Notamacropus eugenii: one gene and its partner. The protein of the gene in region 1 purifies or fractionates together with the protein of each later gene. This does not show direct contact. Links are inferred from orthologs where the notes say so. Each region holds a gene or a part of one and is shown on either strand. Other genes may lie near its edges.

Region 1 (12,523 bases):
AGGGGGGAAGAAGAGAAGAGGACAGATGTAGAGGATGTAGCAATGGAATTAACAAGAACTGGTGACAGTTTGAGATGGGGAGAAAGGAATAATCACTTAAAAGTGATAGTGATACCATTCACAGAAAGCATAAAATCAGAAGGAAGTTGGAGCAGAACAGTAAAGAAGGAAGTTAGAGACATTCAGAAAAGAGATCGTAGCTAGAGATAGAGAATGGGGTGTTATCTGCACAGAGGGAGGAACAAATTGTGAGAGTGAAAGGGAGAGAGAACAGAAAGATGTCTAAAGGGAGAAAATTTGAGAACACCCACCTTAACGAGTTGAGAATAAGATCAGGAATTAGGGAAAGAGAGAAGATAGATAGGAGCAGAACAAGGGGAGACCCACTTCAAAGAATGGCCAAGCATATCCGATGCTGTGGTCATCCAACAGAGGATAAGGATTTTTTAAAAAACTCATTGGATCTGGAGATTACGATCACTGGTGACCTTAGAGAGAGCAATTACAGTAAAGAAATAATGGAAAATGCCATATTAAAATGGGTTGAGAAGAAAGTGGAAGTATTCTATGTAGATAACTTGACCTTTGCAAATTGCTGTCCATGACTCAACATATTTATCCCCAGTAATGAGCCTCTCCAAACTTGGTTGGCCTCAAATGATACACACTTTGTAAGAAAGCCTTCCAAGCTTCACAGGACCTAGAAGAGCTTATGGTCCACTAGCATGACCTTTAAAAACCCACAGTCATCTTCATGTCAAATGAGATAATGCAACAGAACTTCAGTAGAAAACAGATATAGAAATGTAAAGGTATTATTATCATGTCTGGGAGCTTGCCATTTTGAAAAAAAGACAAGCAATTAACATAAAACTAATTTTAAAAAAAGAAAAGAAAAAGCAATACAATTTGAGGCTAAGTACTTTAGGTATATAGGAGTACATAAGTTCTATTGTATATGGGAGCACTTTGGTGAAAGATATTACTGATTTTATAGAGAGATAAAACTGGTTAATAAACTAATTTTAAGCATTAGGTTTTCACAGCTGGTCATATCAGGGGATTAAAATGTGTTTTCTGATTACGGATTATTTGAATCCTATAAACCTACTTTGCACCTCTATAAAATGGGGTGACAATATTTCCTTTATAGGGATAGGGGTTGAACCTAGGTAAGGAAACTCCTTGTACAAATGCTACTCTGTACCTTCTCTGCAACTGACAGTCTTTTAGAGATGTCTAAAATTGTTGGGTGATTTTTCTTTATAGATGTGTTAAAATGAGCACCAACGAGTGGCTATAATAGTCATATAATCATAAATCTAGAAGATTGTGGGATTTAGTGTCCTTTTCTCAGACAGATGATGGACAGCAAATACCCAGTACAGAGTCTGATGTATGATCACTGGAGTTATATAATTATACAATATAATCTCCACAAACTTCCTCCATAGGTCCATCATGTACTCAGAACCTGATAACCAAGAATTACCACTCATTTAAATCTCTTTGAATCATAGCATTATAGATTCAGAAATAGAAAGATTCTTAGAGATATCTTATTCCAAACTTTTTTGTTTTAAAGATAAGAAAATTAAGGTACAAAATGTTAATCAATTTGCTCCACAGTAGAGTGATGGACAGAGGCCCTAGCAAAACCCAGCTTCTGTAACTCCAAATCCAGTGTTTTTTCAATTATGTCATGCTGTCCCTCCATGTCATCCTGTCTTATCAGTCCAACTTCTCCACCTCAGCATAGAGATCACTAATAAAACCCTTTAAAACATTTTTTAATACTGTCAATGATCAAAATTTAGCTCTAGGCATCAAATTTTATGAAGGCCATCTTGATATCATAGCTAAGCAGCCTCACTCTTTCACTCTTTTAGACACAGAGAAAGAATCCTCTCAAAAAAAACCAAATTAATACCATTATTTCTGCAACTTAATTAGCCAGTGTAAAAATAAAAATGTCTAAATGAATACTGTTTACCAAAAAAACATAAAAAAAGGAAAAAAAGTAACTGTTTTGAAAAACATTGTTTAGGGTTTGAGAATACAAGCAGAGAATACTGGTTTCTTACAATCCTACAGTTTTATGTAGACTTTTAATTCTTGTGATTTCCTTTTTCTCTTGTGCTCCAAGTTACTATAATTGTTGTTGCTGTACAATAATTAGTTGTTCAGTGGTAGAATCCCTGCCTTCTTTCTGGGTTCGGTTCCTGGCATTATCAGCATAATTGTTATCACCATCCTACCCCAATCAATGCCAATGTGGAATCTATAGTTTCATAATTTGCAGGCTTAATTTTCTCTACCACCCCACTATTCACAACATTAGCCTGTACTGGGCCCTGGGTAGACCACATTGTCTTTAATTAGAACCACCATGACTTAAAAAAGGACATTAATAAATTGGTGACTTTCCAGAGCAGCAACCAGGATGATTATATGAAAGACCAACAAGGGAGGAGAAATTGAATTTATTTGGCTTGTTCCCAGCAAAAAAAACCAAGAGCGGTGACCAGAAAATGCAAAATAGCCAATTGAGGCTCAGTGGATGAAAGTTTGCTACCAAGCAAGTTAACACAAAAGTGGAATGGGTCTCCTCTCCTTGGAAAAGGAAAAGCTGTATGACTGTTTGTCAAGTATACTGTTTGGAAGTAGGATTCCTTTCAGGTATCAGTTGAACCAGATGGCTACAGATTCTGCAGAAACATTCAGTTTTTCACAGCTTTCCCACTAATTCACTGGACAATCATGCTCGGTAGGACATGCTAGTGTATTATATTGCAAAAAACAGGTTTGTCTGTGGTGAACAATTCAGAATAAAGGTTATATTTTTAACAGAAAGCTAAAAAATATATAATTTATAATTTCATTCATCTAGCAGGCTTCTTATATCTGTAGAACTATATATATATATATATATATATATATATATTTCTAAAAATATGATTTTTTTGCTTCGACCTAATATTTCGTCAAGATTTGAAACACCTTAACATGGAAACTTCTCTCCCTGGTGGAAATCTACAACTTCTCTGTAACTTATGGTCTTAGAGATTTTCTGAGGCATTAAGTGACTTGCCCAAAATCACACAGCCATATGTCACAGGCAAGACATAATGAACCTAGACCTTCCTGATTCCTGGCCCTCTCTCCGCTGCATAATACTACCTTTCTAAAATGCCTAAAAAGAAAGATACCCACCAAATCTGTGGATATCATCTTGTCCATGACTGCGTTGTCACCCTTTGAGTTCACTGCCTTGACACAGCGTTCACTCAGAACTTCCTAGTAGTACAAGACACCAGTCACCAAGTTACATTGTCATACAGTGCCAACCTACAACCTCCTAACTCAAGGTTTCACTCATTCCCTAAGAGGCATTTCGTGAAGTCTTATCAGAGATCTATTATGGTGTGGAGGTGTTGCTATCTTTATCCGTAGAAAGAGCATCTCACAGGAAACCACGCATCTTCTGAAGCAGGGAAATACTCCTACATATGTGTACACAGAAAGTGACTTCAGTTAACCACATACACTTAACAGAGATACCAAATTTCTAAAGATGTGGTACTCAGTTTATGAGGGTTTATTCTTCACAAATCTCTGATCTACTTAGAAGAAGAATATCAAAAAGTCCTGTTTTTTGCTGTGTCACTAAAGTCTAAAATGCAATACAAGAAGCCCTTGCACTGCTGGGAGGAATGAGTAAGAGGAAGAGGGGCCTTTAAGGACTTTATTTGGGGTCAAAATTTCCTTTCCATACCATTAGTTCTTTTTAACTAGTTCTTTGTAAGTTTCAGTAATTCAATGTGTCATGAAAACATTCTGGAGAATATTTTCGTATGACACAAAGCTTCTAGTTTTTATTTTCTAAAGCTATGGAAAAAAAAAAAGGAGTTGGCTAGTGTAAGACATGTCTAAGGAAAATGAACCACAAACTAATTCTAGGTCTTCCTCTTTTCTACTTGCAAACTATTTTTAAATGGATATAATCTTAAGCTATTCCATTTACTCCCTGCCTTTAAAGTGTTCTAATTTTGAAAGTACCACACTCTGTAGATAAGCAGGGCTAACAGGACTTACTGTTGGCTAGGAATAAGAACCACTTATTTCTATTACTAAACATTGTCAGAGATTCAGGAATCTGCTTCACAATTTTTCTCCAACACCCTAAACCAAGAATTCTTGTCAAAAACTTTTAAATTACTTAAATTGTTCAGAAGGAGCTCTATTTTCTCCAATTAAAAAAGTGCTTCCTCTACAGGAAGTTTGTAAACTGCTTTCTGCATATACAGATTAAACATTTACTTCTCTATACATTTCACAAGAATTGCTTCAGTTACCATTTAACTCTTACAATGCTCCATTAAAGGGGAGGATTCCAATCTCTTACCTAAAATGAACTGGAGAAACAGGCTTGCTTATGGCTATATGGGCTACTTAAAATGTGAAACCTTCTAAGAAGTGTTGTTATTTTTCATTTCCAGTTTTCCTAATAACATTCCCTCTTAATCTTGTTTGAACTGCTTTACATGGAGCAGTGAGATATTTTAGCTGCTGAAGTCTGAGCATTTTTACTATCTCTTAGACACTCATTTTTTTTTAGATAGAAAGCATCTTCCAGAACAAATGAATGGTGCAATGCTGATCCCAGCATGCTCTGCCAGCTTTAGTTGATACATCATTTTTTGTCATCCACCAATAGCAGGTGCAAATTTCTTTTTCTGTGTTTTATGATAAGGTTATTTTTAAGTAAAATTAAAATATAATTCTAGGTTGTGGTAAAGTTAGATTACATCATGTAGAATCATAGATCATTCATGTTAGATGTTAATCTAATATGACCATGTCATTCTACGAATGAGGAAACTGAGGCTTACACTCATTAAATAGTTTTGCAAATGTCACAAAAAAAAAATTAATGGCAGAACCAGGATGAGACCTTAACTAGTCAGACCCCCAATCCTGTGTCTTTCCTATTATCATCCAACTTATTTTGAAATCCAAAGAATGTATTTTATCTTTATCCAGTCCCAAGCTACTTTTTTTTAAAAAAAATCTCTACCTATATTTAGAATACATATGGAGCAAGATAACATATGCACAGAAAATCACCTAATCCAACAAACTAACACAAATAAGAAAAGAATTTTACATTTTCTTTTAAGAAATAAAATAATTTTGATTGTGAAAGGCAACTAACAAACTGCAAACAATATTAAATTAAATTAAAACAGCCACAAAACAAAATCTATATTTTTCTCTTTCCTTTTCATGGCTTCTGCCTATTCCATTCTAAAACAACTTTTTCTACTTTCCCTCCTTAAATCTCCTTACCCCAAAATAGAATTCCTAAATCATTTTCCACTCTCAAATTACAAAATTGTTGTTATTCATCTTCCTTCAAACATCTCTATCTGTGCTGTAGTTACTGCAAGTCAGATTACAATTATTGTTTTGACCATCTATATTATTACTAATAGGTGATATTCCATCATAAACAAATATTGCCAAAATCATTTTAAGTCTAGGGGCACAGTGAAATAATGGATGGAGAGAAGAATTTGAAGTCATGATGACCTGGATTCAGATCCTGCCTCTGACAGGTACTGGCTATGTGACTCAGGATAAGTCACTTTACCCTTTTGGTGCTCTAGACAATTCTCATACTATAAATTGCAGAGAATCTTCATTGGTAGAGAGTTACATCACCTGAAAGTTCACAGTACCAATGACATCACTGGTCCAGATCCTACATTAATCTTTGCTTTCTTTCATGTTGCAACATCTGGAATTTCCAGAGAAAGGAAGAAAGAGAGAAAGAAAGACAAAAAGAAAGAGGGAAAGAAAGAGAGAAAGGAAGGAAGGAAGGAGGGAGGGAAGTAGGGAAGGAAGGAAGAAAGAAAGGAGAAAAGAAGGGAGGGAAAAAGGAAGAAGGGGGGAAGAAGGGAAGGAAGGAAGAAGGGAGGGAGAGAAGGGAGGAAGCAAAGAAGGGAGGGAGGAAGAAAGGGAAGGAAGAAAGGAAGGGGAGGAACAAAGGGAGAAAGGGGGAGGGAAGGAGGAGGAAAGGAAGAAATTAGAAGAAAACAAGGAAAAGAGAAGAAAAACTCAGAGAGAATCAAATAAGAGAATATAATCCATCTCTTCCTAGGAGTCTTTGAGTTGTCAAGTAGTCACAGTGCTAAAGTTTAAGGAACAGCAATCATTGGGCTACACAATCACGTGGAAGTGGTACAGCACTACCTTAACTGCTCTTTAAAAGCTTCTTTCAAGGTTCCAAGCTAGGTAAAGCACCTTTTCTGATTATTTTCTTTTTCATAGACCTCGTAAAACAAGTACACATTTGCTAAAAAGAAACAGGCGTTCTCAAGGCTCTGCTTCCCCTTTCAAAAGTCAAGTCACATGCAGACTGAAAAACTTGTGCCTTTTTTTGCCTCCTTCCACGGTTTTCTATCCTGACAAATTTAACAAACTAGCAACGAATGGAATTTTTTTCTTAAAAAAAAAAAAAGGAAGAGTAAGTATGTTGCTTACAGTTCTTGAATGTATACTAGAATCTTCAGATCGGTCTATCCCTTTAGCTTTCTGCAAGGCTTCTTTTTCAGTGCCTGGGTATGGACAAGTTTTAAAAAAATCATCTAAGTGGGAGGGGCTAGGTTGTGGGCTGGTCTAGCTGGTTGGGCAGATGTTTTAAGGTGGAATTGAAGAAGGGGAAAAGTTAGCAGGGAATTAGAAAAGCAGTCTAGAAATGTGAAGCCTGTGAACCCAGAAAAGTTGTCGAAGCAATGCAAAAAAAAAAAAACCCACAAGAATATAAAATATACGTAAACAAATTCTTTTTACCATTGAGTTCCTTGAAGTAACCCCTGTTTCCTCTGTTTTTATAACTATATATAGCAAGGCAGCTTGATAGCTAAGTAATGAATTATAATTTTGACTTTTAAAGAACATCTGAATTGAGTGCCAAGTAGCTGTCATTTGAATTTAAAAAGCAAACTGCAATCAATTCATATAGAGTATTTAAACTGGTCCAAAGTCCCTAAGTAGTTCAGAGCATCCAAGCTGACTCCAGAAAACTTGGGCCCCTATACTGAAGAATGTCCACTGTTGAATTAAAGTCTGACTGCCACACATTGATGACGTGGGATCCATAAACATTATGCTTTCTATTCGTCGTATTCAAACACATATCTTCCATTTGGTACTTTAATCAGTGGCAATATGCATTTGTGTTTTCTTCTTTACTCTTTGCAAAGAAAATTCCTTGTTAACCCCAATGCCACAGGGCTTCTAGATTCAATTCCTGGATTATTATCTTGTTCTTGATTGGTTTCTCAACCTGATTAAAGGCTGAATTTGAGGGTTCATTACAAATCTATTTAACAGATCTCTCAAAAGATGAATCACATCTTCAATTTCATAAGGTCTTGGTCTGAAGACTGACCAGCATGCCTTGAAAGGTGAAATGTTTTATTACGTATAAGTGGCAAAGAAAATGGGAGTAGAGGTCTCATACTTAACGTTACTTTTATTTTGCTCTAATTATCTTTCCTCCCTCAGGCAGAAGTGAAGAAAGAAAGACTATTTCAATATATAATTTAACTAGAACAAGTATCAAATGCTTCAGTCTGGGGGAGACACAAAGTTGAGTACTGGATATGGAGCTGGGTCTAGACTCTAATTCTGACACTTCATAGTCCTTTGATTTTGGGCAAGTCCCTATACCTTTCTGAGCCTCATGTTTCTTCATCAGCAGAATAGGGCACTAGAATAGAGATTTCATTGGCATGGTGCAAGTAGGTACCCACACAGTCAAGTAGGCAGTATGTATCAGACATAACTTGAACACAGTTCTTCCTTGTTTCTAGATTAACTTTTTAGTCACTCCTATCACATTACCTTTCCATATCTACAATGTAAAATAGGTTTCATGATACCTATTGTTTGGTCATTTCAGTCCTGTCTGACTCTTTGTGACCTCATTTGGGGTTTTCTTGGCAAAGATACTGCTTTGTTGTTTCCTTCTCCAGGTCATTTTACAGATGAGGAAATCGAGACAAATATAGTAGAGTAACTAGCCCAGAGTCACACAGCTAGTAAGTATCTGAGGCCACACTTGAACTCAGGTCTTCCAGACGTTAGACCCAGTGCTATATCTACTACACCACTTCGCTACCCTTCGGGGTACTTATGTAGTCCTTTAAGCTCTGGACGTATTTTCTCAACACCAGATCTCCTTGTATTGAAGAGCTGGGTCACCAGAACTCAACTGCATCACCACTCTATTCAAGGATTCTAGGGGTAACCTCAAGAGGTTCTAATGGTATCATCTGACCCCTATTCTAATTTATTCCGCCAATACCACTGCTAGTGATTAGCAGCCCAATATCACTTAACAGCTTCTCAATCTCATCAATAAATAATTGAAATCAACTAGTTCTTAAAACAGTATAATTACTGAGAAAATTTATCATGAACCAAAGGAAAATACCTTCCCTTTAACTGAGACATAGTCTTCCCTCTACCACCTCAGTCCCTGTGGAGAATGAGCTCAACTTTAAGGTGCTGCCACCAGACTTTGCCCTATCAATGTCCATTCTGGGTGCCATGTGGCTTATGAACAAGTTACTCTGGAGTGGTTGGTCCCTTGACTGCCTGGGGTAAATGACTTCTGGGATGGATCCCTCAGGTTACTCCTTGGGGCTACACTTCTCGCTGGGCTTAGCTAGCCAAACTATGGGACAAAATCAAGTTCCTAGACATCTAGAGGCTCTTTCAAAGCACAGAGTTGCAGCCTAGTCTGGAAGTGTCAAGAATCTGGCCAGTGAGCTGCATAACACTCTGGAGCACTGTCCAAACAAAAAATAAATATTTAACCAAATAGTAAACAATTCATTTAAATTTTATTTATTAAATAATAATAATAATAGTAATGAGAGAGTAAATAATTTAAACTTTATTTTTCAATAATAAATAAAACAGCAAATATTTACAAAATAAATTAAAATATAACAAAACATTGTGTGGTTTGTCCTTTGTTCTCAAAGAAGACCATGACATCAGGAAGATGATGACATGACTTGCAATTGAATTGGATTTGAGTATTACATGTTAAATCTAAGTAAATATGCAACCCACAGGGATCTTATGTATGGATTGGTGGACCTTGTTTCTAGATGAGTTTAAAACCATTGGTCTGGTCCATTCCAACCCCTACACTCATTCACCTAAGAGGAAGAAAGGCTAAAACATGACAGGGACAGAAAATTAACAAATGTTCAAGGCCACCCAGAAGCCCAGATTCGTAGATAAGGGTCTGAGGCCTCTGTTGCTATCTGGGGGCTCGAAGCAAGTTTTTCCCTTGATTACTATCAAGGAAAAGGGAAGTTGATTTGACTAATTACTGTCCTTTCTATGAATATTCACTTCCAGCCCAGCAGCCAATCAAAAGATCTTTCTTCACCACTCAGTAAACAAACAGGAAACAATTGCAGAATTTCTGCAAATTCTCTGTAGAGGAGTGCTGGGGCCCTCCACCTCATCACACGCTTTCAGAAGTTGACTCAGCCAAACTACCATGTGAATTGACAGCAGGAGAAATCTGTTGGACAGGCTCCCAGAAATGGGCCCCCAGGAGCCAGTCCCCTATTACACTTATAATACCTCTTCATAACATTCTTATAAGGGGCAGCAAGGTCGCACAGTGGATAGAGTACCAGTTCTGGAATCAGGAGGACCAGAGTTCAAATTTGACCTCAGATATTTGACACTTACTGTGTGACCCTGGATATGTAACTTAACCTCAACTGCCTTGACAGAAAAACAAAAAACCAACCTGTTATAATAAGAGTATTTCACAAACCTTAAAGAAGTATAAAAGTGTGATTATCGCTGCATTACTACTGTTATATAATTCAATGTCTGTCTATCTTTAAGAAGTTTGTGATCTACTCAGGAAGAGAAGACATAGAGATATGAAACACAGTAAACAATATGATACAGGATGTGATTAAAGGGAAAAGTGAGTGGTACACATAGTGTTGGCTGTGGGAGATGGGCAGCAGTGATCATTCCACATGTCCTGAAATAGTGAGCTCAGGCCACTAGCTTCCAATGTGTTAGAGACTAAACTTAGCTGAAGAATAATACTTCCCACTTTTATGGGACTTCAGAGTTTGTAAAGCCATTGATCCTCACAGCAACCCTATTGGTCGGTGCTAGTATTTTTCCCATTTTGCAGATAGGCAAATGTAGGCTCATTAACTACCGTCCACTAACACATGAGCAGAGATCACTGGACCTGTGGTGGCAGGACAAAGAATGGGTAAATTTTGATGAGTGGAGAAATGAAAAAGATCAAAATCTTGGAATGATTTAGAGAAGACTGATTTGCATGATACAGCACAACAGAGGATAGGTAGGGGTAGAATTAGGATTAATTTCAGAGACATCAAATTAGGGAAGAGCATACAAACATAGAGGATGCTGAAGATGAATTTTAACAAGTTCAAATTTTGCCAGAGCAGGCCATTGATACAGTCATTAAAGTTCTAATTCCACAGCAAACCATAAGAAGAATTATGGAACAAGCCAAGTACTGATTCATTTAACTTCAAAAGCTTTAAATTCAACTAACATGACAAAACATGGTAAATGTTGGAGATGTGGGAGAGTTGAAACACTAATTCATTGTTGGTGGAGCTGAGAGCTGATCCAACCATCCTGGAGAGCAATTTGGAACTATGCCCAAAGGGCTACAAAAATGTGCATACCCTTTGACCCAGCAATATCAATTCTAGGGCTGTATTTCAAAGAGATCATAAAAATTGGAAAAGGTCCCACATGCACAAAAATATTTATAGTAGCTCTTTTTGTGATGACCAGGAACTGGACATCAAGGGAATGCCCATCAATTGGGGAATGGCAGAAAAAGCTGTGGTATATGCATGTAATGGAACACTATTGTGCTATGAGAAATGATGAGCAGGAGGACTTCAGAAAAATCTGAAAAGACTTATATGAACTGATACTGAGTGAAATGAGCAGAACCAGGAGAACGTTATACACAGTAATAGCCACAGGGTGTGAGAGTTGTTTCTGATAGACAGCCCTTCACAGCAATGCAAGGACCTAAAACATTCCCAAAGGACTCTTGATTCAAAATGTCATCCACATCCAGAAAGAGAACTATGGGGTCAGAATGCAGAATGAAGCCAACTATTTTCTCATGTGTTATGTTTTGGCTTGGTTTGAACTTTCTCATGACTTCTCCCATTTGTTTTAATTCTTCTACGCATCATGATTAAAGTGAAAATGTGTTTAATAAGAATGTATGTGTAGAATCCATATACGATTGCATGCCATCTCAGGTGCGGGGGTGAAAATTTAAAACTTATGGAAGAGATTGTTGAAAACTGAAAAAAAAAATTAATTAATTTTTTAAAAAGCTTTAAATTCAGTGTGCTAGGGAGTGGATAAAATGCTGCTGGTTTTCTTCATGTTAATAATATTCACTTTCTCCCTGGATATCTTACTCCAACGTTAATTACATCATAACACAGAAATAACCCTGAGTATCTTTTAAATCCATTTTATATTAATAACGTACATTTACATTACCTTCATTTCTGAATACGTCCCTCTCCTCTCTCCTGCTCACCCATCCGTTCTTCATAACAAAGATTAAAGAAGAAAGAGAAAAGAAAAAAATTCTGCAAAAATAGCCAACACATCAAACATATCTTAGATTTTATGTAATATTCCAAACCCCATAGTCTTCAAAGAAGGGAAAGAGATGCATTTTTTTAAACTCTTCTTGGGAGCCAAGGTTTGAATAGAAATTATTGGAGGCTATACCAGCAAAACACAAACCCTGTTGGGTACTGCCTGGCTGAAAGTCTTTGAGCGTGAGACTAGTGGTAGACTTGTCTCCTGGTCAGCAGCAAGCATTTATTAAGCACCAACTAGGGCAGCTGGGTTGGTACAGTGGTTAGAGTACCAGACCTGAAGTCAGGAAGACTCATATCCATATCCATAAATCATACTCCGATACTTAGTAGCTGTGACTCTGTGAAAATCACATAACCCGGTTTGTCTCAGTTTCCTAATCTATAAAATTATCTGGAGAAGGATATGGCAAACAATTCCATTATTATCATTCCAAGAAAACCCCAAATGAGGTCATGAAGAGTCAGACACAAAATATGTCAGGCACTATGGCAAATGCTGGGGAATACAAAAAAAGGCAAAAAAAATTCTGCCTGCCCTAAAAGGAGCTTACATTCTAAAGAAGGAGGAAACATGTAAATAACCAGGGAGATTCAAATTTGTTACATGCAGAGTAGATGAAAGTAACTTCTATGGGGAAAGCATTAGCAGTCTAAGAAACCAGAAAAGGTCTTCTACATAAAGGTTTTGAATGAGGTATTGAAGTAAGACAGGGGAGACTTAAGGGTGTTGCTGAGGAGACAGGGTATTCCAGGCCTGGGACAATGCAATGCAAGGGCACAGA
Region 2 (12,693 bases), about 150 Mb from region 1:
TATACTCAATAGGAAAGTATATGTAGAATCTATACAGAATTGTATGCAGTCGTGGGGAGGGAGGGGGGTAGTGGGGAGTAGGTGGGGAGGGATAAAATCGCAATTGTATGGCAGTGATTGTTAAACATTACAAAATAAAAAAAAAGAAGAAGAAAAAAAATATTCTATAGACTATTGAAGGAGTAGATAAGATCACTACTTTTTGTAATTTAATAAAAGTATTAGGAAGCAGGCAGCAAGCTGGTGACATAGAGCATCAAGCCTGGAGTTAGGATGACATTTCCTGAGATCAAATCTGACCTCAGACACTTACCAGCTGTGTAACCTTGGGCAAGTCACTTCGCCCTATCAGCCTCAGTTTCCTCATCTGTAAAATGAGCTGGAGAAGGAAATGGCAAACCACTCCAGTATGTTTGCCAACAAAACCCCAAATAAGATCACAAAGAGTCAGACACAACTAAACAGCAACGATAACAACTAGGATGTTGTTATTAGTAAGTCAAAGTTTACTAACAGTATCTCCCCTTAATACATTTCCAGTAGAAGACAGGATGATGTACTTCATCCATTTCTCACATAATTTTGATTTCTTTGGTTAGTGCTTTATAGTTCCCATGTAGCTTGGACATTATGAGTATCTGGTATGGCCACATCTACTAAAAACATTGTTCTTATATTTTTATTGATTAGTGTCATGTTTGTTTGCTGTTGTCTCTTGTTGTTGATATTTCCAATGTACAACCTCTGCTTTAAAGTTGTCTCCTTATAACTCCTACTCAGTCCATAAAGTTGATTGTAAGCCTGGGTTGCATGACTGGCACAAATCAATTGCTTCAATTCAACATTTATGAATAGCCTACCATGTGCAGAGCTCTATGTGAGCCATTAAGACATACAAAGTTTAGATAAGACTCAGCCTCTGCCCTGATGGATCTTAGGGTCTAGTAAAGGGATAAGACATAACCACAAGTAACTACAAAACATGATATTTTGAGATAAGTACTGACTTCCATGGTCCTCCAGGCATAGAACCTCATTGAATATTTGCTGGCAAAGACAGGAATATCTAGGCTAAGTACCTGAGACTCACACCCTGACATGATGTGTGATATGACCAGAACTGGATATTAGGAAGATTAGTCTTCCAAGTGATGGCAGGATGCCATTGAAAACTAGCTTCGCAGTCTCCTTTGCTTTCTGTTCTAACATAGGACCGCCCTTAGGACAATATTTGAAACAAAGGAGAGACTCATAAACATCCAGTTTTCCAAGAGGAATCCTCATGAGTGAAGTCAGCGTCACTGCTGCAGAGAGGGAAGCAAAGGGAATGCCGAAATCCAAGAGCAATTTTCCTGGCAATGGTCAAGATTAATCATGTGCTGACACTTCTAGGATATTCCCTGAGTCTGTTCATTCCTTTCTGATCATTCATTCCTTTGGGATGTCCCCTTGAGAGAAAAGTTATGTAGGAAAGAAAGCCCTAGGAATTAGTTCTGGGCCATTTTCCACCAGTACTTATTTGCCTGTAGCTTCTGAAGATGCATGCCTGAAGCACGACTAAAATAAAAATCTGCCTGATAGTGTTTGTGCTGAGGATTATAAGGGCCAGACTAATCTTCCTAACACCTGGTTCTGGTCATCACATCATGTCATTCCAGTCACTGCTCAAAGACCTTTGATGGCTCCCTGGGACCTAAAGAATCAAGTCCGAACTCAGTTTGTCATTTAAAGTCCTCCACGATCTCATTTCTTCTACCTCCAGACCTTGAGGCAAGTCATGTTACTGCTCTGAGACTCAGTTTCCTCACCTGTAAAATTGAGGGGGTTGAACTAGATCAAAGATCATATATTTAGGGCTGGAGAAGACCCTAGAGGTCATCTAGTCCTATCAATCCTCTCATTTTAGGTAATAGGCATTTATATTGCACCTACTACATGCCAGGCACTGCCCTAAGCACTTATTTTTACAAATATTATGTCAAATATTTTATAAATATTATTTGATTTTACAGAGGAAGAAACGGAGGTCCCACAAAGCTAAATTCCTGGCCCCAAGTCACACAGATAGTAAGTGGATTAAACCCAGGTCTTTTAACTTCAGAGCCAATTCTTTTCCCCCTACACCATGAGCTCACTAACCTGTGACTTCCAATCTACCTTGCCAGTCTTGTCACATGACTCCCTCTACAGATCCTATTTTCTGGGCAAACTCAGCTGCTTGCTATCCCCTCTATATGCCCATTTTCTCCTGATTCTGCCTTTGCTTGTGTTGTTCCCTAGGTCTTCTCTCCTTATCATCCCTCTCCACCACTGTTCATCTAATTGTGACTCATGCTTTAAAACCAGTGGTATGATAGTAAATGCTTACCAACCAGTTCTTCCCCTCAAAAAAATTGTGTGCAGGACATACTTTTAAGTGTAAATGTTTTTTCCAACACTTTTTAAGTTTAGATAATCAACAAAACAATAAATCAAGCCCGGATTGATAGTGCTTTCTAATTTTCAAGGTATAAAATGCTCATACTAAAAATTTAACAATCAGCTCTTGCTGGTGTATTCAAACCGGCTCCAGCATGACCCTGTTTAAAGCTTACTTGAAGTGCCTCCTTAATTATTAGAATTATGAAGATTTAGAACTAGAAGAGACTTCAAGATCAACTAATTCAACTTCATCATGCACAGGTGAAGAAATTGAGGCTAAGTGACTTACCTTGAAGCATTTGGGTAATAATTAACAGGTTTAGAGAAGGAGGGAGCAGCCAGGTGGTGAAGTGGATAGAGAGCTGGGGGCCTGAAATTAGGAAGATTCCTCTTCCTGAGTTCAAATCTGGCCTCAGATACTTAATAGTAATGTGACCCTGGGCAAGTCACTTCACCCTGCTTGCCCCAGTTTCCTCATCTGTCAAATGAACTGAAGAAAGAAATGGCAAACCCCTCCAGTATCTTTGCCAAGAAAACCCCCAATGGGGTCATGAAGAGTCAGACAATGAAAAATACCTGCAGAAAGGAAGTTTCACATTCATGCTGGCACTTTTTGTCTTAGCAAAGAATTAGTTGGGGAATGACTAAACAAATTGCGGTATGGGATATACTACAAAAAATATTAGACTGTACAGTGTTCTGCACACAATCTGCACCTAATGAACGTCTTTCATATTGAATTGGATTCAACAGGGAATAGTAATGGACTTGGAAAGATGGTAGGGGAGATCAAGTAGTAGCCTATATTCATGCAACTTCCTTCAATCAACAAATATTTAATTATTTCCATGTGCAAGACTGTGTATTATGTGCTGTGAACTGCCCAATGTCAGGGTTGGAAAGAACCTCAGCAGTAAGTTCATTAAACTCCTGTCTGAACAAGAGATGTCTGCAATGTCTCAGGTAAGCAATCACATAGTTCCTGTTCTCACGAAATGTTCATTCTAGAATGTATGAGATTGAAGTCCCAGTAAAAATCACCTGGGAGAAAGAAACCTGGAAATAAACACTTTCTGAATCAAAGAAACAGTTCAGAAAATACTGCTCTGTGTCCAGTTATCCTTCTTATCACCAGTATGGATGACTAGAATACCTCAGAAGAGGTAATACTAAGGAATAATTAGATTTTCCAGTCAGCCTCTTGTCAAACCCCCTTCAAACAATCCCGAACAAATTTCAAAAAGTCTGGTGGCTTACCAGCACTTTGAAGTGACTTTATCTGAAACCGTTGGCACTAGGAGTTATGATGGTGACATCCCACATGGGCCCACAGATGTTCCCCAATAGTAAATGGAGGCAATAAACTTTAGAAAGCCTCTTTGCCATCCGTCTAGCCTTAAAAAGGGCTACATGCTACTGAATACTGGCGACAAAATCAGTGCACTTTGTCCTGGTATGGTGCAACCATAACAGAGAACTTTTGTTGCCATAATCACCATCAGTGCTGTTACTCACAAGGACTGACACTAAAACTTCCTGAATGTCAAGCAGTGAAACTCTGGAATTGTCTATAGTCACTTAACATCTCCTGGTCACTGTTTCCCCATTCATAAAATGCACAAGTTTAGTCTTTATAATCTCTAAGCTCTAAAACTATGAGCTTATAACTTAACCAGTGGCAGCTGAGTGGCACAGTGGATAAAGTGCTAGGCCTGGAGTCAGGACTACTCATCTTCCTGTGTTCAAAGTCAGACACTTACTAGCTGTGTGTTATTGGGCAAATGACTTAACCTTGTTTGCCCCGGTTTCCTCCTCTGTCAACTGAGCTGAGAAGGAGATGACAAACTGCTCCAGGATCTTTGCTAAGAAAACCCCAAATGGTGTCACAGAGTTAGATATGACTGAAAAAGAACTGAACTGAAAATGATCTGACTATAAATCAAAAATAATTAAATTTACCAAAACTGATGTAGTACCCTTATATGAAAGTCTATCTAGCAGAGTGGACTTGGAATCAGAAGACCCAGAAAATGAAGATAACATTTCCAAGAGGTAAAATTGTATAAAGGATAGAGAGTTGATATCAAAGTTAAGAAAACCTGAGTTCAAATTTTACTGCTGATAGCTAATGGCTACTGATTAAGTAGCCCCCAGACAAATCTTTAAGACTGAAAGTGGAAGAGAAGATATAAATCTGCATTGGCAACAGAAATTCCTCAACAGGAACTCCCTATAGCAATGAAATCCGAGATCTGGCCAAAGAAATAAGAAGGTTGTTGTTGAGGAAAGGTCTACCTTGTTAGGTCCTCGAGTGCTATAAAAATGCTAGCTATCATTATTATTCTTTATTGAGTCACTGGAGATAGAAAGAAAAAGGAAGATCTGACCTTCAAGGGAGACTGTCCTAAGGGGACACAGATGAGCTTAATAGAAAGTATGATGTGATAGAGGAAAAAAAGAGCGATAATAAGATCTTAGATCTGGAAGAGGCCTGAGTAATTCCTCTGGTCCACCATCCTTATTCTATAGATGAGAGAACTGAGATCTATTGAGGTTCAGGAACTAGCCCAGGATCACACAAGCAGTAAGTGACTGAACCGCCATTTGAACTCAGATTCTTGAACTCCAAGTTCATCATCATGCTCTAGAGTGGGTGAGGAGTCTGAGCGGGGTGAATCAAAAAAGGCTGAGTGCTTCCTTCAACTTTCACCTCCAGTCTCCCCTTCATCCATAAGCTTTTTGAAGTTTCCCCACACTCCTTGTGCCTTCCCTCTGAGAAGACCTCTCATTTACCCTGTCTATATCTTATATGGGACATCTTCCTGAGTTCAAATCTAGCCTCAGACACTTACTACCTGTGTGGCCCTGAGCAAGTCACTTCACTCAGTTGGCCTCATCTGTCATCTATATTTCCTCATCTGTCAAATGAGCTGGAGAAGGAAATGTCAAATTACTCCAATGTCTTTGCCAAGAAAACCCCAAATAGGATCGCAGAGTTTGAAATGACTCGACAACAGCAAAAATATTTTATATGTACGTAGTTGTGTGTATATTCTAATTCTAAACTCTTTGAGAATAGGGATTGTGTTTCCCTTTCTTTGTTTAGTCAGAATGATGCCTAGCAAGACAGTAGGACTTAACATATACATCTTGTGGTTGTTTCTCATGGAGTAGGAAATTCCCAGGTTGAGACTTAATAGATCAGAAAGATTTCAACAGGGAGAGGAGAGAAGGCCCTATACCTATCTCAATACTTCAATGATGCTGTGATCTCTTTGAGGTGAGGGCTCCTTCCAGTGGTGCAAACTGAAACCCATCCACACCTTGTCCTCCTCTCTAACTCTAATCATGTGTTCACATAAATTCATCCAATAATCCAGGGCTCTTCCTCACCCTCTTTCCTTTTCCCCTACCTTTCTCTTCTTGACATTGTGTGGATACCGGGCTAGCTGTGTGCCGTCCCTCACTGGCTACACAACTCTAGACTGATATATTGCTTTGTTTGAGCATTTTGTAATACCTGGCAACCTCTGGCACCATTTGTCTCTCCGTTGCCTTTTGGGTAACCCATAATTTTGATTTCTTGGCAATTTTGGTTACTGTGTGAGTTTCAGAACATTGCTATTGGAATTGTGCTTCAGGGAGAAGTTGGAGATCTTAAAAGCACACAATTTCCCAAATTCAATACCAGCTCCTCTCCCCACTCCTTAGCAAACCCACTGCTTATTGAACTGAATTCAGTCCAATCAGCTCTCGTTTTCCTATTCAGATACAGGCTAGGTTCATTGTCCATTCACACTGTCTGTCCAAGATATAAGTACTAATAGAGCAGCTTGACGGGCTCTCTATCCAACCACACATTATAGTCTGGTCAACCGACATTCTACGTTACACGTAGTAGGCACTTAACAAAAACTTGCTGAATTGTTCATGGAATCGAGCTCATTCCAGGACAAAACCAGAATAAAATCAGGGAATATAGCTAGTAATCCTTTCAAAGATTTCGAAACTCACATTTTTAAAGTACCTACTAAAACTGAAGCTGAGACATCAGCCAAAGTAGAAAATGAAACCAACAGTAAAGAAAAGGCAAGTCTCCCATTAGGAAAAAGACGCTTAATGTATACATCAACCTAGGAAGTCAAAAAACTTCAGTGCAACGTAGTAATTATTTTATTAAGTGCTTACATTGTGCTAGACCCTGGGGAATACAAAGACAAAAACAAAAGCAGCTCCTGCCTTCAAGGAGCTTACTTTCTCCCAACAGCCGCGAGTCTCTTTTGCCATTCCCCTTCCCCCAGAATCTCTTCCCTTTCGCCCTCCTTGGGCTACTAAGAGGTTAAGAAAGTAAAAAGAGGTGGGCTGCATTCCTTCCTCTTCCTTAAGAATAAAGAGGGAAACCTCCGCTACGCAACAACACCCCAGCCAGGGAGGAGTCTGGCTTGGCTTCAGGGTTCTTGGAACGTATGTTCTTGGCACAACCCAAATCTTAACTAGATCCTAGCTCCCAGACAGTCCCACCTTCTTCCAGCAGAAGCAGCTAGGAAGAGGAGTCTTGGAGAAAACAATTCCCAGATCAGGATAATACCAGGGTGCATGTTACAATTGGTTCTGAGCCAAATGGCCCAGCCCACCGACTGTTGGATGCTTTTGTTTCCACCACCATCCACACAAGGAGAGAGCGAGGACACGCCCCTACCTCCCCCCACGTCCTTGTCTCCCCCACTATTTCCACACAGCCAGTATTCTAAAAGTAACTCAAGTGGGAAATGCACTGTTCTTGCACAGGGATGCCCTGAAACCTTCCATGGGGAAGCACATTCTTGCCTGAAGAGAACACAGGCGCGCACACAACTAGCGGAGGGAGGGGGCTGGAAAAAGTTAGAACCTGGGTCCTAGAGGTGGGAGGGAGAGCAGAAAAGGGAGGGAGGGTGAAAGGGGTGGGGCAAGAGGAGGCACTGTGCAATCAAAGCCTACTCCAGTCTCCCCTGCCCAGCCCCACGTTCCTCCCTCTCCCCCACCCACCCCAAGAAACTCCAAGGCTTATAGTGCTTGCTGCAGTCTTCTCGTTTCGTTCTCGCTGAGCTACTGCTTCTTGCTTAGGCAAGGTGAGTTCCTCTCTCTGCGTCTCTATCTCTCTGTGGTTATTTTGACCGCTTTGTCGTTTCCTCCCACTAAGGCACAGATGTGGGGAGGCACGAGCTAATTCAGCCACCTCAGGGAGCAGCCGCAGAGCCGGCTGCGCTACTCCAGGACCCCCAGGGCTAGACGAGCGCCCACTCGCTGCCCCTCCAGTCTGGAATTTCCAACTGCCTGGAACAAGGCTGCTCAGGACCAGCCCCGAGAGCCCGCCTTCCCTGATCGGGCTGCATTTCCCAGCGAGGTCAGAGGTTGAGGGTGTCCCGACCAGGAGGCGCCCGAAGCCACTTGCGGGTAGCTGTTCTCTGGGGAACCGCTGTTCCAGAATGACTGGGACCACACCCAGGGGCGCGCTACGGCGCGCCCCTTCCCGAGTCAGGGCTAAGTGGGTGCCTAGGCAGGGCAGGAGGTGAGACGCAGGAAGGGAGGGTGTCTGGGCACCTGGGACACCTGGGAGTTGGCATGCTGAGAATATGCCTAGAAGGATCCGGGCTGGAGTAGTGCCCCAAAACCTTTGGAGGAACAAAAGCGACTGACGGACGTTAAGTTGCCTTCCTTTTCCTCTCTAACAGCACCCTGCTCCCCGCCTCCATCTCCCATTCTCTCTCTGCTTTTTCTTGTCCTGCTGTCTATTTCCATTCTCCAATCACTCAGCCCCTTACCCTGCTGATCCTCTGGACGCTGGAAGCCATCTTTCTGGCAGTCAGCCTTCAGGCAGAGGTGGCCCAACTCTGGCCAGATGTTCCTCCATTATTTATTCCCAACAAAGTGCCAAGTGAGGCTGCCTTAGGAAATCCTCCCTGGGATAGACAGGCGTGAGCTTTGTCTGACAGTTCGGTCAGGGAAGCTTGGACATTTAGCCGAATTTAACGTGAGGCCATTCCCTGGGGTGCTACAACGCTGCTAGCTGGGTCGCTGCCTGGCTCCCCGCTCTTGATTTACACTCACGAGGCGTTTTCTCTTTCCTAGCTATTTTGGGCTGGGTTTCCTGTTGTTTGTGTGCTTGACTAGAAGGTGGCTGGCTGATCGTTACCCAGAGAGGAGAAGGGGAGACTGGGAGACGAGCAGAGGGATCTAGAGGAGGGCAGATAAAAAGAGATGGGGCAGGAATCAAAAACAATCTTAGAACCACCAGAGTTGTTTGTAAGGTAAGAGGAAACTACAATACAACTAAAGCATTTCCTCTCCCCAGGGGAAAAAAAAAATAAACTTTCCATTTCACCCTGACAAAGTTATAAAGTTAAATGTGAGAGGAGGGCAAAGAAGAAAAAAACCCAAATTCCTAAATCTCAAGTTAATTTTGCCCAATGGGAAAGAGATAAATAGACCCTGATACACAATTCTGTTGAGTCATATGTATAGCATTAAGTATGGTAACCTAAAGGAATGGAGAGGTGGTAATTCCAGACCTTATTACTGTACTATCTAAATTTTAATTCTGCAGCTAGGGGAATTCACAGCCATACTTTGGGGATATTGGAAGTAGAAGGACCAATTGGCCTGTTTGGGGTTGTTAGAAAATAACTGGAAGAAAGAAGTGGGAAGGGGCTAGATTCAAAATGCTTTGGAATGGGTGGTATCTATCACCTCACTAGTCACTCTAGGCCTAATGGCTTCCAGTGGCATATGTGAAGCACACTTTGTTCCTGGATTCACCTAGTGGTGGAAAGAAGGCAGAGTGATTCAGCAGCCAAGATGGTGTGGGTGTGGCCCTGATTCCCCACAAATTTCTCTGTTAGGGCAGAACTGTCCCTAAAGGAAAAGGGAAATTGCAATTTTAGAGGGCTTTCCCCAAAAGGAAGTCAATCAATGCCATACCTGAACCGTGATTTGAAAGAGGATCAGTTTGCTTCAATGCAGGGGCTCTGTAGTTGAGGACAGTTATAAAACTGATAGAGATCATGGCAAGGCTTCTAGATTATCATTCATTCATTCGTCATCTACTTAGTGAATGGTTACTGTATCTAGAAGGGGGAGAATACAGTTCCTGCCCTCACTTTTAACTAAAGTAGGGTTTGGTAAACAATTTTGCATCATGGACCCCTTTGGCAGTCACATGAAGTTTTTGAACATTCTTTTTAGAATAATGTTTTTAAATACATGGAATTACAAAGGAAACAATGCTATTGTAATACAGTTATTCAGTATTTTTTAAACATGCTCATGAACCCCAGGTCTAGTGGGAGACATAGGTACAAAAATAAATATCAAGTCCGCAGCAGCAAGATATGATGGAAATATCATTGATTTCGTGTTTCATTCCAAGCCCTGCCCTGTGTCCTTTTAGACAAATCATTCAACTTCTCTGGAAAGCAGTTGTTGAATCAGATGATCCATAAGGTCCTTTCTAACACTATGATCAAGAATCCTATTAAAAAGTAGCATGTGATTAGTATGTTACAGAGAAAGGGTTCAAAGGAGGGAGACATGACTTCTGATCTAGGAGAATAGGGGAAAGAAGACTTCCTGAACAGAGGAACTGGAGTTTAGCCTTGAAACATATCTAGGATCTTAGCAGGTAATGATGGGAGAGCATTTCAAGAGCAGAGGGCACATGTGTGTGAAAATACAAGATAAGTTCAGGGAACCAGAGGAGGCTAGCTTTGCAACTGCTTGTCGGAGAGATACACTGGCAGGTATTTTTTTCTGTTTGGAAAAGAGGTCAGTGGTTGGGTTTTTTTTTTCCCTCCAGTTTGAATTTCGATCTTTTAAGTGTTAGACTTCATATCCTGGGCTTGGGGTGAGGCCATACCCATGGAAACACTGTCTGGCAGTCATAACCTGATCTTTGCCTCCAACGTGTTTCAGCAAATTGCGAAAGATACTATGGTGGGTGGGGGAGAGGAATGAGTTCATAATTCATTTCAGATTTCTTCCTCAGCCCCACCCCTGCTGATTGCTATCCAGTTTTCATCCTCTTGTAAGAAAAAAATACTTCCCATTTGCAAGAGGTCAGTTTCTCACTGCATAAGTATCCAGTGTATAGAAGTTTGGGGGGAAAGTCTGAAATTAACCCTGATAGCCGGCTGGAGTGGACTCACATATAGTTGGACAAGAGAAATCTTATTAGGTGATACTTTTTGCAGGATGTTTCAATTAATAAGGCAACCTCTAGCCAATTCTCTGGTATGGTATCTCTGACCCTAAATTGGGTGGGGCTGAGATTGGGTGTGCCTTTGCTCAGCTCAAAAAAAAAAAGCCACTTTATAAGAGTTTGGCCACTTTGAGTAAACTTGGATCCTGAGTGAACAGTCCCATTGTTTCCATTCTATTCTGCATATGTTAGCATTTTGAGCTCAGTGAAATGCCAGGGTATTCAATGATGTATACCATAGTCCATCACCACCCCTCTAACAAAGGTTTTCCAGTACTTAACATCCCTCTGCTAAGCAGCTCCCACCTGCCAACCTTCAGATGAATTGAATATCAGGGAGTGGTACAAGTCAGAATGCAGATACATAACAAATCTTTGGAGAAATATATATGCTGATGAATAACTGATATTTTTGATTTAGTTCAAAATTAATTCCTCTTATTGAAATTTCAACTTCAGTATTTCTTCCAGTGTGCTTCCTCTGCTGCTGAAAGTTTTGACAGCCTGATTTGTGCAGCAGGGCAGGAGTTAGATTGTACTCAGACTCATTCAATCAATCCAATTTTTCTGAACCCCTAATAGGCCTCCCTGTAAAAGACCAAACTCCAGAGTTCCTTCTAGTTTCAGCTCTGGAACCATTACTTTATGACTTCCCAATGACAAAAGCAATAAAACCTCAACCACGTTAAACGGCTTTGTTTTTGCTGAAATGCTGCCAACCTCAGGCTGGGCTGGGTGGGCTGCAGTAAAAGAGGGACAGATGAAATGTGTGAGATGAAAAATGGTGATGTGCTTATGATTCCTATTTAAAATTAGATCCTGAACGAGAGCCCAAAGTTGGGTTTTGGGGTTTTTTGTTTTGTTTTCTTTTGTTGTATCTTGGTTTTGAGCTGGGGCATTGACTCTTCAGAAGTACCTTCCAAAAGAAGCCAACAGTCTCTTTTAATTCCCACTGTTTCCAAGAAGTAGATGTCCATTCATTTCATTTGAAGCAAAAGGATTCATTAAATGTAGTTCTGATAACCTGAAAAGAAAAACACTCAGGACTGTACCCTTCAGTCTAAGAGAGGCAGGGCTGGCTACAAGAAATGGTATCCAAGGATCTGGGTTAGTATCCTGGCTTTTAACTGTGTGACCTTGGTCAAGTCATTTCCCTTTCCCATGGCCTCACTTTCCTCACCATTAAGAAGAGAATGTTGGACAAGACCTCCAAGACCTCTTCCAACTCCAAATCTATGGCAAACAGTACAGAGCATACTGGCCACAACAACTGAGGAATATTAAACAGATGCAGAATGGACAGTAAACATACAAAGGTTCCAATTAGTGCAAACAATAAATCCTCTGAAATGTTCTCAGCTATTGAAATTCTCAGTATTTAAAGTAATGTATGTAAATATGTAAAATATGATCTTTGGTTCCAGACCAATGGAAATATACCCCACTTCCTGGGGTAAGGTATGATTCTTCACACTTATAGGGACCTAACTCTATAGACTAGAGGATTTGATCTTGTATAGATTCCTACGAAGATAAAAAAATTCTAAAGGAGAAAGAAGTGTGAGAAATTTTAGAGAGAGTAGAAAAACAAGATTAAAAGGAGGAAAAAGCAATTTCAAGGGTCTAATCAGACCTGTTTTGCAGGATTCATATTTTCCTTCATTTCTGGAATGTGTTTTCTCTGCCTGCCATCCTGGGGCCCTTCCTTTCTCAGCTCCTCCCTTCTGTTACATCTGGTTCAGACAGTTATGGTACTTTAAGCTCCATCTAGTGGTCTTCCTTGTTTCTCAATCTTGACTAAGGGGCTTAATAGAAATGCTCCCCTCCTACTGGGTTCCATAGTAACAGTTTGAGAGTTCCTTTTAGATTTGGAGCCAAAAGCTTGGGGTTCATATCCTAGCCCTTCTGCTGTATTGCTGGATCTCCCTTGGGGCCTCAATTTCCTCCTCCAGAAAATAAGGAAACGAGTTGATGAGCCCAGGCTGGCATAGTGGAAAGAGGACTGGATTAAGAATCAGCTTCACCATGAATCTTGGTTT

What was found.
Region 2: the proteins of PLA2G4A (region 1) and S100A10 purify together in Homo sapiens (affinity purification with western blotting; 3 studies listed by BioGRID). This does not show direct contact. The link is inferred for Notamacropus eugenii from reciprocal best matches to the Homo sapiens genes PLA2G4A and S100A10.

The regions. Positions count from the first base shown.
Region 1 is NC_092873.1:458,072,674-458,085,196, forward strand, and holds the start of PLA2G4A (cytosolic phospholipase A2), read right to left. Parts: upstream 6,653-12,523; 5' UTR 6,547-6,652; intron 1-6,546. UniProt on the Homo sapiens protein: Has primarily calcium-dependent phospholipase and lysophospholipase activities, with a major role in membrane lipid remodeling and biosynthesis of lipid mediators of the inflammatory response.
Region 2 is NC_092873.1:305,908,529-305,921,221, reverse strand, and holds the start of S100A10 (protein S100-A10), read left to right. Parts: upstream 1-7,394; 5' UTR 7,395-7,529; intron 7,530-8,222; exon of another isoform or gene 8,223-9,622; intron 9,623-12,693. UniProt on the Homo sapiens protein: Because S100A10 induces the dimerization of ANXA2/p36, it may function as a regulator of protein phosphorylation in that the ANXA2 monomer is the preferred target (in vitro) of tyrosine-specific kinase.